3 linked regions of the Callithrix jacchus genome follow. The protein of the gene in region 2 interacts with the protein of the main gene of each other region in a pairwise test. Links are inferred from orthologs where the notes say so. Each region holds a gene or a part of one and is shown on either strand. Other genes may lie near its edges.

Evidence for each region.
Region 1: the proteins of IMMT (region 2) and TRAF3IP1 interact in a two-hybrid assay, tested with the Homo sapiens proteins (2 studies listed by BioGRID and IntAct). The link is inferred for Callithrix jacchus from reciprocal best matches to the Homo sapiens genes IMMT and TRAF3IP1.
Region 3: the proteins of IMMT (region 2) and PFDN1 interact in a two-hybrid assay, tested with the Homo sapiens proteins (2 studies listed by BioGRID and IntAct). The link is inferred for Callithrix jacchus from reciprocal best matches to the Homo sapiens genes IMMT and PFDN1.

The regions. Positions count from the first base shown.
Region 1 is NC_133507.1:159,640,997-159,646,425, reverse strand, and holds the start of TRAF3IP1 (TRAF3-interacting protein 1), read right to left. Parts: upstream 2,919-5,429; 5' UTR 2,767-2,918; coding exon 2,644-2,766; intron 1-2,643.
Region 2 is NC_133515.1:26,804,380-26,809,744, reverse strand, and holds the start of IMMT (MICOS complex subunit MIC60), read right to left. Parts: upstream 4,068-5,365; 5' UTR 3,951-4,067; coding exon 3,906-3,950; intron 1-3,905. UniProt on the Homo sapiens protein: Component of the MICOS complex, a large protein complex of the mitochondrial inner membrane that plays crucial roles in the maintenance of crista junctions, inner membrane architecture, and formation of contact sites to the outer membrane.
Region 3 is NC_133503.1:38,670,834-38,676,162, forward strand, and holds part of PFDN1 (prefoldin subunit 1), read right to left. Parts: intron 4,065-5,329; coding exon 3,898-4,064; intron 1-3,897. UniProt on the Homo sapiens protein: Binds specifically to cytosolic chaperonin (c-CPN) and transfers target proteins to it. Binds to nascent polypeptide chain and promotes folding in an environment in which there are many competing pathways for nonnative proteins.

The sequences.
Region 1 (5,429 bases), on a different chromosome or scaffold from region 2:
GAAGAGGACATGGACAATTCTAAAGCAGGAAAGGGCCTGGCCACACAGCATTTTACAAGAATCCTTCAGGTGCAGTGGAGGGAACAGATTCCAAAAAGAAAAGGAACTTTGGCTGGGCACAGAGGCTCACACCTGTAATCCCAGCACTTTGGGAGGCCAAGGTGGGTGGATCACTTGAGGTCAGGGGTTCAAGATCAACCTGGCCAATGTGGCAAAACCCCATCTCTACTAAAAATACAAAAGTTAACACTGGGTATAGTGGCATGTGCCTGTAGTCCCAGCTACTCGGGAGGCTGAGACAGGAGAATAATTTGAACCCAGGAGGTGGAGGTTGCAGTGAGTCGAGATCGTGCCACTGCACTCCAGCCTGGGTGACAGAGCAAGACTCCCTCTAAAAAAAAAAAAAAATTGTGAGCAATAACTGTAAGTGACAAGAGACATTAATATCACAGGATCCACACTTAGCTTAATGAAAGGGATGGTTAGTTTAGCTGTAGCTTAAATACTAATATGGTGATTTGAGTATAATATTTAGGATAATAAAGCATTTTCATAAGACCCTTTCCACCTATTATCTCAAAATGCTTTCCAATATGTCAGTCATTCTAGCCTCTTTATCAAGTAGGTGACAATTCCTGTATTGATCTTTACACAAGAAGAAAAACGAACTTTGGCATAAATGAGGAAGTCTCTGGGAGTAGAGCAGACCAGTCATTCCTAATTGGGAACACACAACTAGTCCCACACCCTAGCCACCTGGCCAGGAAGGCGATCCTTTTATTTATTTATTTATTTTTTTGAGACAGGGTCTTACTCTGTCACACCGGCTGGAGTGCACTGGTGCAATCACAGCTCACTGCAGCCTCAACCTCCTGAGCTCAAGCGATTCTCCCTACTCAGCTTCCTGAGTAGCTGGGATTACAGGTGCACCACGACACTCGGCTAATTTTTGTATTCTTCGTAGAGCTGGAGTTTTGCCATGTTGGCCAGGCTGGTCTTGAACTCCTGGGCCGAAGTGATCTGCCTACTGTGGCCTTCCAGAGTGCTGGGATTGCAGGTGTGAGCCGCCCCCGGGTGGCCCTTTCCCACGAGGATGCCTCTGACCAGCTATGCAGTAGTGACTGGACCGTCACCAAGAGCTGAGCTGCACCACTACCCCACAAGGATAAGACACACTCCCTGCACCTCACTCCTAGGGCTCTGCATTTCAGTGGGGCAGGCAGGACTGGGAGAAGATTAAAGGTTTTGGCAGCCACAGCTGTGGTGGGTTGGGCTCACATTGGCTCTTACTTGTTTCCTCTGGGGCAGAGGACGTAGGCCCTGCCTACTTCACAGGAGTGACATGTGCACTGTCCTGCTCCTACAAGCCTATCCACACGGCAGGTCCCCTCCCCACACACTGCCCAGGACAAGCTGTAAGTGCTGCACCAGTTGGGAGGACATAACCAGGGCTGGCGGTGCCCTGGGATGTGGGTGGATTCAAGAGCATTTTTAAGCACTGTCTTAACACAGAGGCACAGGCTCCAGGAGAGCGTACACTGGAAGCCAAGGTAGGAGGGCAGAACCAGAAGAGCGATGTCTGTGTAAGAATACGGCACCCAACCTGTAGAAAAGAGTGAGAACTGGAGCTTAAGGCCCATCACCAGGTTAGCTCATGAGCCCCCGGAAGTCTCCAAGTCCGACCTGAATCCTCAATCCCAGAACACACCTCTGAGTTCCCATGTGCCCTTGGGTGCACCCTGCAAATGGGTGCTGCACCCCCTGCAGTGACGCTCCTGAGAGTTACCAGGGAGTTACCCGGAGCCGTGACAGGTCCCACGCAACAGGGGATGTTTGCTGTGAATTTCTATGTACCTGATCCAGGGCAGATCACCAGAGCCATGCTGACAAGCAGGGTCTCCGTCACTAAGGAGCACGCCACCCGCAAGCGGGGAAAAGCCACACAGACCACCAATCTTCAATTTAGGGCAGGCTATGCGGCTCTGTTACAGCTGTTCCTACCAAGTCTCCCCACAACCACCTCCACTAAATTCACCCACAGACATTTATCAAGCACCCAAAATAGGGTATGGAGGGCAGCTTTGAGGCAGGAGAGTTGTACAAAAAATATTATTTCCATTGTCCCAGGATTTAGGGAGCGCCTTCCATGTGTTACATGCTCCAGCGCAAGCGAGAGGGGTTCCCCAGGGTTACACAAGGAGGGAGCAGAATGGAAGATGCGCTCTAAAGAGATACACGGACAGGCAGGGAAGAAGTTAAGAATGCTCCCCGAGGGCCCGGAGCCTCCCTGTAAGCGGCCGGGAGCGGGGGAAGGGGTCAGACGTCCGCGAGGAGGGCGCCGCGGAATTGGGCCTACAGGCCGGGCTCCGGGGCAGGGGCTGCACAGAGCTCTGGCCCCGACCCCGGGACTGACTGCAGCCCCCTAACCGCACCCCGCGCCCGGCCCTGACCCGGTCCCCGACCTGCACCCCGACCCCGGCCCACACCGGGTCCACACTCGGCCCTGACCTGGTCCCCTACCTGCACCTCGAGCCCGGCCCGGGCCCTGACCCCGGCCCAGCCCCGGCCCCCGACCCTGGCTAACACCCGGCGCCCACCGGGACCCCGACCCGCCCCTGGCCCGGCGCGGCCCCCGGCGCCCACCTCGGTGATGATGTCGTGCAGGTAGCGGAACGGGGGCTTGCTCAGCAGCTTCTCCGTCAGCGGCGGCCTCCGGATCACCTTCCCCAGCGCCTCCTGCGTCCGCCTCACCACCGCCGAATTCATGGCAGCCTCCGCTGCCCACGCCCCTCAGCCGACCCGGCCGAGCCTAAGCCCGGGTCCCTGGCCGCCGCCTGCCCCGCCGCCGTCGCCCGCCCCGCAGCCACAGCCCGGTCCCGCCAGGACGCGCCGCTACGGTTTCCATCCCACAGTGCACCGGAGCCCGCCACGGCGCCTGCGCGGAAGCCGCAAGGCGTTCGGTCGCTAGGGCTGCGCGGCCTTAGCAACGGACGCGCCGCGGCGCCCCATCCGCGTCTACCGTCCTGCGCCGGCGCAAACAAGAGGGGGATTCCGCCGGAGGGGGGGGGGCGGGGGGGCGTCCGCGCGTGCGCAGACGAGGGGGGCGCGGCGGGGCGGGGGAAGGTGGTCCGGGGTCCCGCGCCTCGCCCCTCCAATGCGGAGCGACGGCCTCGCGAAGTGGGTGTTGGCTCGCCTTAGAGGCCACCGCCTGAGGACTGATGCACAGCGGGGTAAACCAAGATCTGGGCCGCCTGCTTCCCAAATCTCAAGGGCTTTCGCGGGCACTGGTTCATCGGAGGGGATGGAGCTGTTATCCCAAAACACACGGAATGGAAAATAGACTGTCCTGGCCGGGCGCGGTGGCTCACGCCTGTAATCCCAGCACTTTGGGAGGCCCAGGCGGGCGGATCAGTAGGTCAAGAGATCGAGACCATCCTGGCCAACATGGTGAAACCCCGTCTCTACTGAAAATACAAAAATCAGCCGGTCGTGGTGGTGTGTGCCTGTAACCCCAACTACTTGGAAGGCTGAGGAATCGCTTGAACCCCGGGGGCCAGAGACTGCAGTGAGCCGAAGTCGCGCCACCGCACCCCAGCCTGGGCAACACAGCAAAACTCTGTCTTTAAAAACAAACAAACAAAAAGTATAAAATTCTAACTTGACTGGGTTTTGTTTTTTTTTTTCCGTACTTTAAGGATGTTACCCCATTGACTTCTGGCTTGCATAGGTTCAGAATAAAAATCTTCCATACAGCCAGGCGTTGTGGCTCACGCCTGTAATCCCAGCACCTTGGGAAGCCGAGGTGGGCACCTGAGGTCACGAGTTCAAGACCAGCCTGACCAACATGGAGAAACCCCGTCTGTACTAAAAATATAAAATTAGCCGGGTGGGCATGGTGGCGCATGCCTGCAGTACCAGCTACTCGGGAGGCTGAGCCAGGAGAATCACTTGAACCTGGGAGACGGAGGTTGCAATCAGCCGAGATCACTATTACACTCTAGCCTGGGCAACAAGAGTGAAACTCCGTCTCAAAGAAAAAAAGTCTTCTGTAATTCTTTGTTCTGTCTATTGTGTTTCTGGCAGCCTTCAAGATTTTATTTATATTATTGGTTTACCAGAAGTCTGCACGTGGTATATCTAGATGTGGGGGTCTCTTTTGCCTAAAATTTGTATTTTATTATTTACATACAATAAAATTCATGCATTTTAAGTATGCAGGTTGGTACAGCTTGGTAATTATTTCTAATTATGTGACCACCACCACAGTCAAAATATACAACTGTCCCTGCGCCCTCAAAGACTTCTTGCTGCTTATTTGCAGCCTATCTCCTTCCCCACCCGAGTTCCAGGCAACCACTAATCTGGTTTCTGTCACTGTAATTTTGCTTCTTCTAGAATTTCATATAAATGCAATCATGTAGCACATAGTCTTTTGTATTTTATTATTTCTCTTGTAATATTTTTGCCGTTCCTTTTTGTGGCTGAATGGTATTCCGTAGTATAATTTGTTTATTCATCAGTTGATGGACATTTGGGTTGCTTTCGGTTTTTTATTTTTTGTGAACAATTCTGCTGGCCAGGCACGGTGGCTCACACCTGTAATCCCAGCACTTTGGGAGGCCAAGGTGGGTGGATCACTTGAGGTCAGGGGTTCAAGATCAGCCTGGCCAACGTAGTGAAACCCAGTCTCTACTAAAAATTCAAATATTAGCCAGTCATGGTAATGTGTGCCTGTAATTTCAGCTACTCAGGAGGCTGAGACAGAAGAAATGGTTGAATCTGGGAGGCAGAGGTTGCAGTGGGCCGGGATCACACCACTGCACTCCAACCTGGGTGACAGAGTGAGACTCCGTCTCAAAAAGAAAAAAAAAATGCTGCTATGACCATTCACTTATAAGTCTTTGTGAAAGTTTTCATTTCTATTGTATTGGAATTGTTGGGTTGTGTGGTAAGTACATGTTTAACTCTACAAATACTACCATACTGGTTTTAAAGTGGCTACATCATCATTCATTCCCACTAGCAATATGTTGAATCCCAGGTTGCTCCATATCCCTGCCAACATCTGGTATTAGCAGTCTTTTTCATTGTTGTCCTTTTTTTCTTTTTTTTTTTGTGATGGAGTCTCGCTCTATCGCCCAGGCTGGAGTACGGTGGCATGATCTAGGCTCACGGCAACCTCCGCCTCCTAAGTTCTAGTGTTTCTCCTGTTTCAGCCTCCTGAGTAACTGGAATTACAGGTACTCACCACTACGCCTGGCTAATTTTTGTATTTTCAGTAGGGATGGAGTTTTGGCATTTTAGCCAGGCTGGTCTCGAACACCTGACCTCAACTGATCCACCTGCCTTGGCCTCCCAAAGTGCTAGGATTACAGGCTTGAGCCAGCACGCCCAGACTGTCAGTCTTTTTAACGTTGTCTTTCTATGGG
Region 2 (5,365 bases):
GGAGGCAAAGGCGGGTGGCTTGCTTGAGCCCAGGAGTTTGAGACCAGCCTAGGTAATACTCGAAACCCTATCTCTACAAAAAAAAAAAAATTAGCTGGATGTGGTGGTACATGCCTGTAGTCCCAGCTACTCAGGATGCTGAGGTGAGAGGATGGCTTGAGCCCGGTAGATGGAGGTTGCAGTGAGCTGAGATTGCATCAGTGCATTCCAGCCTAGATGACAAAGCGAGACTGTCTCAAAAAAAAAAAAAAAATTGCCCCCATAACATAGGTGGGCTTCAATCAATCAGTTTAAGGCTCAAACACAACAAAATCCAAGAAGCAGTTCTCTAGCAGACTGCCTCCAGACTGAAACTGCACCATCCACTCTCCTGGGTCTCCAGGCTGCTAGCCATTGGACTGAAATTGCAATATTGGCTCTCCTAGGTCTCCAACCTGCCAACCCACACAGCAGATTCTGGACTTGCCAGCCTCTATAACTGCATGAGTGGAGTCCTTATAACAAATCTTCCTGGGCTGGGCACTATGGCTCATTCCTGTAATCCCAGCACTTTTGGGAGGACAAGGCAGGGGGATCCCATCTCTACTAAAAGTCCAAAACACTAGCTGGGCATGGTGGTGTGAGCCTGAGTCCCTGCTACTCAGGTGAGGTGGGAGGATAGCTTAAGCCCAGTTGATCAAAACTGAAATGAATTATTATCATGCTGCTGTACTCCAGCCTGGGCAACAGAATGAGACCCTATCTCAATACACACACACACACACACACACACACACACACACACACACCCTCTTGTTTCTTTTTCTCTGGAGAACCCTAATATATAATCAGAGGTTTGAAAATCTATAGGATGTTTAAAGGGAGGTCACATCCACTGACAGCGATTAAGAAAAATTCCACTTTGGGAGGCTGAGGCAGGCATATCACTTGAGCCTAGGAGTGAAGACAAGCCTGGGAAACACAGTGAGACCCCATGTCTAAAACACTTTTTTTAATTAAAAAAAAAAAAAAGCCGGGCGCAGTGGCTCACGTCTGTAATCCCAGCACTTTGGGAAGCCGAGGTGGGCGGATCAAGATGTCAAGAGATAGAGATCATCCTGGTCAACATGGCGAAACCCTGTCTCTACTAAAAATACAAAAATTAGCTGGGCGTGGTGGCTACTTAGGAGGCTAAGGCAGGAGAATCACTTGAACCCGGGAGGCAGAGGGTGCAGTGAGCCAAGATCGCACCACCGCATTCCAGTCTGGCGAAAGAGTGAGACTCTGTCTCAAAAAAAAAAAAAAAAAAAAATTAATGAACACATTATATTCATTCATTCATTTATATATGTCATAAACATATATATGAGCATCCACTCAGAGCCAGGGACTATTGTTAGTACTGGAAATATAGCAGCAAACTATATGGACACAGTTCCATTGTGGAGTTTACGTTTTAAAGGTGACTGTGCAATGCACATTATAACATCAGGTAGTGCTAGGAGCTACAAAGCATAATAAAGTAGGATGGGATAAAAATACAGGTGATGCAAGGAAGGCAAGAGTAATCAGAATACTATTTTGGATCGGGATGCCCTCTCTGAAGGGAAGGTGACATTTGAGAAAATAACTGAAGGTAATAAGCTAAGCAAACGTGTGAGTAGAGCCCAGGGCAAAAGAAACACCTAATGAAAAGGGAGTGAGGTACATGCTGGAGATTACCAGGAGAATCTGAGTGAGGCAGTAGAAAAATGAAATATGAGAAGAGTCAGATCAAGGGCCCACAGCAGACAGTTTAAATGTTATTCTGAACGTGATGGGATGTCTCTAAAGGACATGACATCATGTTTGCCTTTTAAAAAGTCTTTTACTAACTAAATGTCTTACTGGTTTTACTACTCCCTCCTAAACAATGGACACTAGGATGAAATAGTAAAAGCAGTAAGACATTTAAGATGGGGTTGCTGGGCACAGTGGCGCACACCTATAATCCCAGCCATTTTAGGAGGCAGAAGTGGGAGGATCATTTGAGCCAAGGAGTTTGAGACCAGCCTGGGCAACACAGAAAGACCCCATCTCTACAATATTTTTTTTAAAAATTAGCCAGGGATGGTGGCACATGCCTGTGGTCCCAGCTGCTCAGGAGGCTGAGGTAAGAGGATCCCCTGCACTCGGGAGGTCAAGGCTGCAGTGAGCCATGATCATCCCACCGCACTCAAGCCTGGGTGACAAAGTGAGACTCTGTATCAAAAAAAAAAAAAAGATGATGGAGTTTAATAAAGTGGAAAGGATCTTGACAAGTGGAATATTCTGGATAAGTTGACAAAATCAAATATGATGAGGCTACAGAGTCATCTGCTTGGGGATTAAAGTTCTGAGAGTTGATAAGATAGCAATTTCAGGAAGCTTAGACATCTTGACTTAGAGCTATAAAAGGGTACATTTTTTATTACCAAGTTTTAATTAGTCTTCTTATTCCCCAAATGGGATCCCAAAAAGTTGACTGAATTAACTGAAAAGGAGGTCATTCAGGTGGGTCTGGTCTAATCACATAAGCCTTTTAAATCTGGGTCTAGAGAGGAAAGACGGAAGTAAAAGAAATTTGGAAGTCAGAGAGACAAGCTCCTGGTAGCTTGCACGAAAGCAAACATCCGTGCTACCAATGGCCTCTGGAGGCCTTGCTATGGAAGCTGTGAGCAGTGGCTGGCAAGAGGCAGCAAGAAAAGAGGGACTTCAGTCCTGTAACTGCAAGGGATTGAATTCTGCCAACAGACTGCATGAGCCTGGAAGAGGACCCTGATCTCCAAGAGAACCACAGCATGGCTAATACTTTGCAGCCCTGTGTGACCCTGAGCAGAGAACCCAGATCATCCATGCCCAGACTCCTACAGAAAGTGTAGGAGTCATTCACGGGTGTTGTTTCAAGCTGCAAAATTTGTGTTGTTACATAGCAATAGAAGACTAACACAGGTTCGTTCCACTTTCCTATGGAAGGGGCTGCTTCTCTTACCCTAGCAGCAAATAGAAAGAGAAGCGAACTTGAAAAAACAAAGCTTGACTTTTATGATCTCTAACTCACTATTCCTGGAGATTCTGTTCAATTACTGCTTGAGTCACAGTACTTGTTTTACTATCTACAACATTTTGCCAAAATATCAACTTTCTGAAAATCATGAGCAATGCAAACAGGTTTATTTTCAATTTTAGAAAGTAACTTTGGTTACTACGTAAAACTAAAAGCAACTGGGTGTTTTGGCTCCTTGAATGTCAAAGTAGTCTTAGCGCCTGGAGACACAGATCCCTGTCCTAATCTCAGAAATGAGCCACAAGGTCATGACTCCTGTCTTTCCTTACCAGGAGTTTCAGCTCCACAAAGGAATTTCATCTTTCGCTTTTGTTTGAATTACGAATAGCAGTTCAGAGGTGTTCTCAGATGCGAAAAGACAGTCCCCTCCAGATAATTATAAACTTGACCCCTAAAATGTGGACTCTCTCTAGAAGTCCAAGAACCTCCTGATCAAGGATGCAACAAGCCGCGGCTCCGCTCCTCCTGCCGGGAACTGTAGTTCTCCCGCGGCGACCTTCAGCCGTGGAAACCTATCGCGCGCCCAACCGGCGACCCAGACGACAGCAGCCAGGATTGGTCCTGGATGGGGGCAGCGCGGCGCTGATTGGATGGCACGCCCGCGAAGCCGCGCCTCCCGCTACTCTCCACACCCCACCCTGCTGTGGCAATAACCTCAAGTCATCCCACTCCGGCGAACTCTCTGGTGGCTGCCTCACTGCCAGCCCGGGCCTCTCCCAACAAGGTTGGCCCTAAGACTCGCCTCTGTCCTGGAAGCGAGGCAGCGTCCAAGACTCCCCAGTTTGCCGCTGACGGTCTTAGGTCAGCTTCCTCACACGCCCTCGGTAGCCCCAGTGCTCACCTGGGCGGCGGCGGTCACACCCGATAACTGACAGACCCGCAGCATCTCGGTGGAGCGGACGGCGGCACTAGTGAACGCTGGAGCTGCAGCGGCGGCGCGAGTAAGTGGAGTCGTGCGTGCGTATGTGCGTGCCCGCGTCCGCGCCCGGCGCACCGGAAGGGCAGCCGACTCCACTGCGCACGCGCAACCTCTTCTCCGGTACCCGACTCGGCAGCTCTTAAAGGGTGGGTTCTACCCCGGCTGCGGAAACGCCAGCTCCGGGCGATTGGTGCGAAGGAGGCTAGAAGGGCGGATTCACTTTCCGGGTCGCACTGAGGCTACAGGTCCTTATCCCCAAGCTGGGGTTACTAGGTGAACGCGGCGGGAGGGAGGGCCTTCTGAAATCCAGTCTTCAGCCGCACGTGTAAAATGGACACCTGTGACTCTTCAAAGAATTAAAGCAAGAAAGCATCTCAGCCGGCTCTGTGAGCTGGATATTTCGTAGGAAGGAGTGGATTTGGCCAAAGTTACGTAAACAATGGAATTGTCTCAGTTTGCGAGTTTGCTTCGTTTGACAGCCCTTCAGGGAGTCATCCTGATTGCCGAAGACGGTGAACGAACACTGTAGGGACCCTTGTGCGGAACGTGTCAAGTGGCACAAAAAGGATAGGAACACAGGTTCTTTGGACTCCACAGCTTCTGCTCCTTCCAGAAGCTTTCTCCCAAGTTTTTACTTTAGTAACATCATTTTGGCTGCAATTGTGGATGGGTTGGAACATGGAAGGTCAATACAGAAGCACGGTTGAAAGTATTCCATTAGGCCGGGCGCGGTGGCTCACGCCTGTAATCCCAGCACTTCGGCAGGCCGAGGCGGGAGGATCGCTTGAGCCCAGAAGTTCGAGATCAGCCTGGGCAACACAGTGAGACCTAGTCTCTATACAGAAAAACAAAAACAAACAAAATATACATATATATATGTATGTGTGTATATATATGTATGTATGTGTGTGTGTATGTATATATATATATATATATATACATTTTTTTTTTTTTTTTTGAGACGGAGTCTTGCTCTTTCCCTGGAGTACAGTGGCACAATCTCAGCTGACTACAACATCTGTCTCCCGGATTCAAGCAATTCCCCTGCCTCAGTCTCCTGAGTAGTTGGGACTACAGGCGCCTGCCCCCACACCTGGCTAACTTTTTCTGTTTCAGTAGAGATGGGGTTTCATCATGGCCAGGATGGTCTCGATATCCTGACATGATCTGCCCGCCTCGGCCTCCCAAAGTGCTGGGATTATAGGCATGAACCACCGCGCCTGGCCGAAAAAAATTTTTAAAAAGAAAGTATTCTACTGATTCTATAATCAAAACATGTTAAATATTAAAATATGGTATTAATACTTCATGTATACTCCAGTATTAATATGTTAGTATTAATACTATTACCATCTTATTGCAATATCGTGGAAACTAACTTT
Region 3 (5,329 bases), on a different chromosome or scaffold from region 2:
ATTCTCTAAGCCTTTATCATACTACCTACCCTCAAGCATAATCCTAAATGCTTGGGTTTTCTATATTTTCAGTTCTGAACATCTCTTCAACTAGCTGGTATTTAGAATTAGTCAATCTTCTCAATATATTTAATAAAGTATTAATACTGTCAGATCAAAGGACAGGATTTTGGTCAGATATAATTTTTTTGAAATTAGTCAAAATATATATTACTTTTATAATTTCATCTTATATGAATCATATATTAAAACAAAATAATACACTCACTCTTAAGTCTCTGACACTTTCTAAAATACTTTTTTTCTAAGAAACCAGAAGAAAAAACATTATTTTAGGCAAGAAAAAAGAATCAGGTTCAATTCAAATCAATACACATTTAACAGCTATTTTGTGCCAGACATTATACCATTACATTGGGAATGCAGAAACAAAGATAATACATATATATATAAATATGGTCTCACAGAGCTGACAGTCTGGTTGGGAAGACTGACCCATTTAAACACACCTACACACTCAATGTGCTTTACTAGCTGTAGGAACAAAAGCCCTGCTATCGCCAAGGAAAGAGTGAATGAGTCTGCCCCACGGGGTGGAAAAATCTTCAAAGGCAAAGTAAGATCTGAGCTATGTCTTGAAGGATGAGAATTTCACAAGGAAAAGGGGAATATTACCAGCCAAGGGCAATGTTATTCAGCCAAAGACTTGAGCAAAAGCAAAAAAGCACAAAAACATAGCATGTGTGAGGAAACCTATGTGGCAAGGGTAGGATAACAATTTCTGGTACATGTGCTACTACTCTTCTACCCTCACTGTGAAACAGACATCACTAATCAACTAAAGCATGTTTAAAACCCATATGACACCTCAAATTTTTTCTCAATACATAACACAAAACTAGTAGAAGGAGGTAGGTCCATGAGCTGAAATACACATGCTATGCCAACCCTAGAAAAAGAAAGTGGTGAGACCTGAGGCAAAGGGTAATTAAGAACAGATTATGAATAACCATGAATGCAAGGCCAGCAAGTTTACATTTTATTCTGTGGACAACAGAGGATGAACAAAGGATTTTATGAACAATATTGATGTGATTAATTTTGCCAGATGTGTGAAGAATGGATTTGGACAGACAGAATGAAGGCAGGAAGAAAGAACAGTTAAGATGCTATCACAAAAGCCTAGGCAAGAAACAATGAGACCTGAATTTCAGCCACGGGAAAATCTACTGCAGGTTCTAAAAGAAAAAGTTTGGGATTTTATTATCTGTGGTTTTAAAATAAAAATGTGGGAAAAAGTAATATTCTAATCAGAATTTCCATATAACACTCAAAAGGAAAAGAAAAAACAAATTAAGGTAAAGACTAGAATTAAAGACCTGAATCACAATGATACTCAAAATTACTTGACTATAAATTCAGAAATAGATATTTCACGTTTAGCATCAAGAAAGAGAACATCCTCATGACCAGACTAATACTCAGCAAGTCTTTTCTTCCTCTCAGAGCACTAATACTCCAGCCAAACAACAAACGCCATTCACCTTACTTGCCCCTACAACACAGGGTCAAACTCATACTCCCGGTGAGATGCAGAAAGTACAAAAATCAAATTTAAAACAGAAGTCTGAAATCATGTAGAAGCTCAACTTTATCCAAACATTTAAAACTGCATAATTCTTTTAAGAAACATAATTTATAGGAAATAAACCTTCCGGAAATAATACCATTCCACCATTAACTAATTCATATCCTAGCCTTTAAACTCTAGAATTCTTTGTATGGAAAACAGCCTATCTGTAGCACTTTGGACAATATGTACAAAAAAGCAACTCTCCTATCCATTCTGCAGAACATTTAATAAATGAAACTCCTCTAATTAAAATTAAAAATTCACTGTAGTTCAAAAGGCCAGAGTGTGAAAGAGTTTTTCTATTTTGAAAAAGGAATTCTTTAGCTATTGCAAACAAAGGCTAGTGCAGTGATGTGAAATCCAAGTACAACATGTTAACAGGCATACTAGAAAAGCTAGCATTACTGTTTTAAGACCTAAGGATATTCACATTAAGGATAAAATTATCCTGTAGTGAATGCCAACAATGTATTTCATACTACACAGACACATATTCCAGGGTTCTACTTTGTTCTCATCCCAATTCTTTTGTGTCCCAGTAACAAACTTTCAAATTGGGATCCTTATCCTCTCAAAACAAACTAAAATGAAATATATGAGCTTGGAGATAAAATTTCCTTGTGCTATATTATTCATTCTGAGAAAGCAAATCAGATGAACAATTTAACATAATCTAATTCCGAACCATAAAGATATGGATTAGTCAGTGAATGAGCAGGGTCTACTTCTCATGATGTCATTTCAAAGCCATTATTAAATTTTACACATGTTATTCTTCCTTCAAATCAATCACAAAACAAGTCATCCCAAGACTGAGGTCAAATTCCATTCTAACTAAAAGATCTCCAAACCTGAAGTAATGGTCCACTTACTAAGTAAATTCTCAAAGACCAAATTCCAGAAAAACCCTCCTCTTGTACCTCCCCCCAACTTAAAAAAAAAAATCAGTCTTCTCCTTTTAGCTCACTGTAATGGAATGTGACCTGTACTTAAGGGCTTTTCCATTCCTTTTTTTCTGCTTAAAGAATATGAAGCAGACCTAGTCTCTCTCACAAGGGTAATGTTTTTAAAAGAAAAAAAAGTGAAATGTACATAGTTAATTGTATAATAATTAGAACAAGCAAAAAGTAAAATGATTTATTAGATTTCTCAAATGTGAGTTGTCCTCCTATTAGAACACATGACACACAGAATGAGTGTATTTTTTGTTTGTTTTTTGAGACGGAGTTTCACTCTTGTTGCCCAGGCTAGAGTGCAATGGTACAATCTTGGCTCACTGCAACCTCCACCTCCCCGATTCAAGTGGTTCTCCTGCCTCAGTCTTCCAAGCAATTGGGATTACAGGTGTGCGCCACCATGCCTGGCTAATTTTTGTATTTTTGTAGAGGTGGGGTTTTACCACGTTGGCCAGGCTGGTTTCTAACTCCTAATCTCAGGGAATCCACCCACCTCAGCCTCCCAAAGTGCTGGGATTGCAGGCACGAGCCAACACACCCAGCCAGAATGAATGTATTTAAATGACAACTGAATATTTATTTTTCTTTTACAACCGTGATCAGACATCTGAAAGATTTATGATTTGTATCACTCCTAATAAATTGAGTAGGGAAGAGGAGGTTAAAACTAAACCTACTTAAATAAATCTTCACCTACAATATCAAATTACTATAACCATTTTCCACAATGAATCATATTTTTATTACTGAACTTACACACTTAAGTACCTAATCATAGACAGAAGAGGGAGGTAAGCACTTAAGAAATATACTTCAAAGTCTAACATTAAACACTTTCACTAATCTACTGAGGTTCAGCTCCTCATCTGAAAAAAAGAAGGCACTTAATTAAATAATCTATAAAGTTATTTCTACGATACTTTAATCCAGGTTTTGCTTTGCTTTGTTTCGTTTTGTACACAGCTACCTCTGTTGCCCAGGCTGGAGGGCAGTGGCACGATCTCAGCTCACTGCAACCTCCACCTCCCAGGTTCAAGCAACTCTCCTGCCTCAGCCTCCCAAGTAGCTGGAAGTACAGGCAAGTGCCAACATGCTCAGCTATTCTTTGTATCTGTGGTAGTCACAGGGTTTCACCATATTGGCCAGGCTGCCCTCAAATGATCCACCCCCCTCAGTCTCCCCAAATGCTGTGATTACAGGCTTCAGCCACTGTGCCCGGCCTAACTCAAGTTTTAGGATGAACAAATTCTATTTAATTCAGAGAAAAGCACTCCCAAAATAACTCTATTAAGGACATACTTTACTTACATTCTTCCTACACCTTCATACATGTTAGTCTCATCTACCAAAGTCATGATCTCTGTATCTGTAAGATGTGCATGCTTTTTCGTTCTGTTTAGCTGTTCAATCTGTATGTCTGCCAGCTTCACCTTCTGTTGAGTGTCGATAACTTTGGCTTGAAGCTCTGTGAAGGCCTAATAAAAACAAGTCCATGTCTTAATAGGTAAAACATTTTACAGAAAACATTTATGTCAAATCCAAATATATTAGAACAAAACATGCTAGCCAGAGACAAAGCTGTGGAATTTACCAAAGCAAACATCAATAAAAGTCAACATAATTGTAAATAATCAAGACACTATACTAGATACTCAATTTACAATCATCAGAAGATACATCAGCGTGATGCAAAACAATGCACGTTAAACAATAACCATATTAAGTGGCAAGTACTTGGTCAGGTGTAGTAACTCACACCTGTAATCCAGCACTTTAGGAGGCTGAGGCAGGCAGATCACAAGTTCAGAAGATCAAGACCATCCTGGCCAACATGGTGAAAACCCGTCTCTACTAAAATACAAAAAATTAGCTGGGCATGATGGTGCGCACCTATAGTCCCAGCTACTCGGGAGGCTGAGGCAGAGGAAATCGTTTGAACCCAGGAGGCAGAGACTGCAGTGAGCCGAGACTGCGCCACTGCACTCCAGCCGGGGTAACAGAGCAAGATTCCATCTCAAAAAAAAACAAAGGTCAAGTACTCAAGGATTAATAAAAGAAATAAATGCAACAGTCAAGGATGAAATCCAGAAATTTAAAACAAGAACCATAAAAGTAACAACTCACATTTGTATTGCACAATTAGGTTCAAAGCACTTTCTCACATTAGTTTGAAATATTACATGGGAATATGAATATAAGAATATTAATGAGGAAATATAATGATAAATCTCATTTATGCTTCTCAATAATCCCGTGAGTTAGCGTTGGCAGTTTCATCATCCACAATTTACAAATTAAGTAATTAGGCTGGGTGTGGTGGCTCACGCCTGTAATCCCAACACTTTGGGAGGCTGAGGTGGGCAGATCACAATGTCAGGAGTTTAAGACCTGTCTGGCCAGTATGGTGAAACCCCGTCTCTACTAAAAATACAAATATTAGCTGGGCATGGTGACGGGCACGGTGACGGGCACCTGCAGTCGCAGCTATACGGGAGGCTGAGGCAGGAGAATCACCTGAACCCAGGAGGCGGAGGTTGCAGTGAGCTGAGATCGTGCCACTGCCCTCTAGCCCGGGTGACGAGCAAGACTCCTTGAATAATAAAAAAAAAAAATTACATAACTAAATGAGCTAAGAGATAAAAGTGGCTTGCACAAGCCACTTTTGGGGAAAAGGCAGGTATTTAAATCCATTCCTTCTAACCTCTTAGTTCAGGAACCTTTCCATTCTACTGTCTATAGT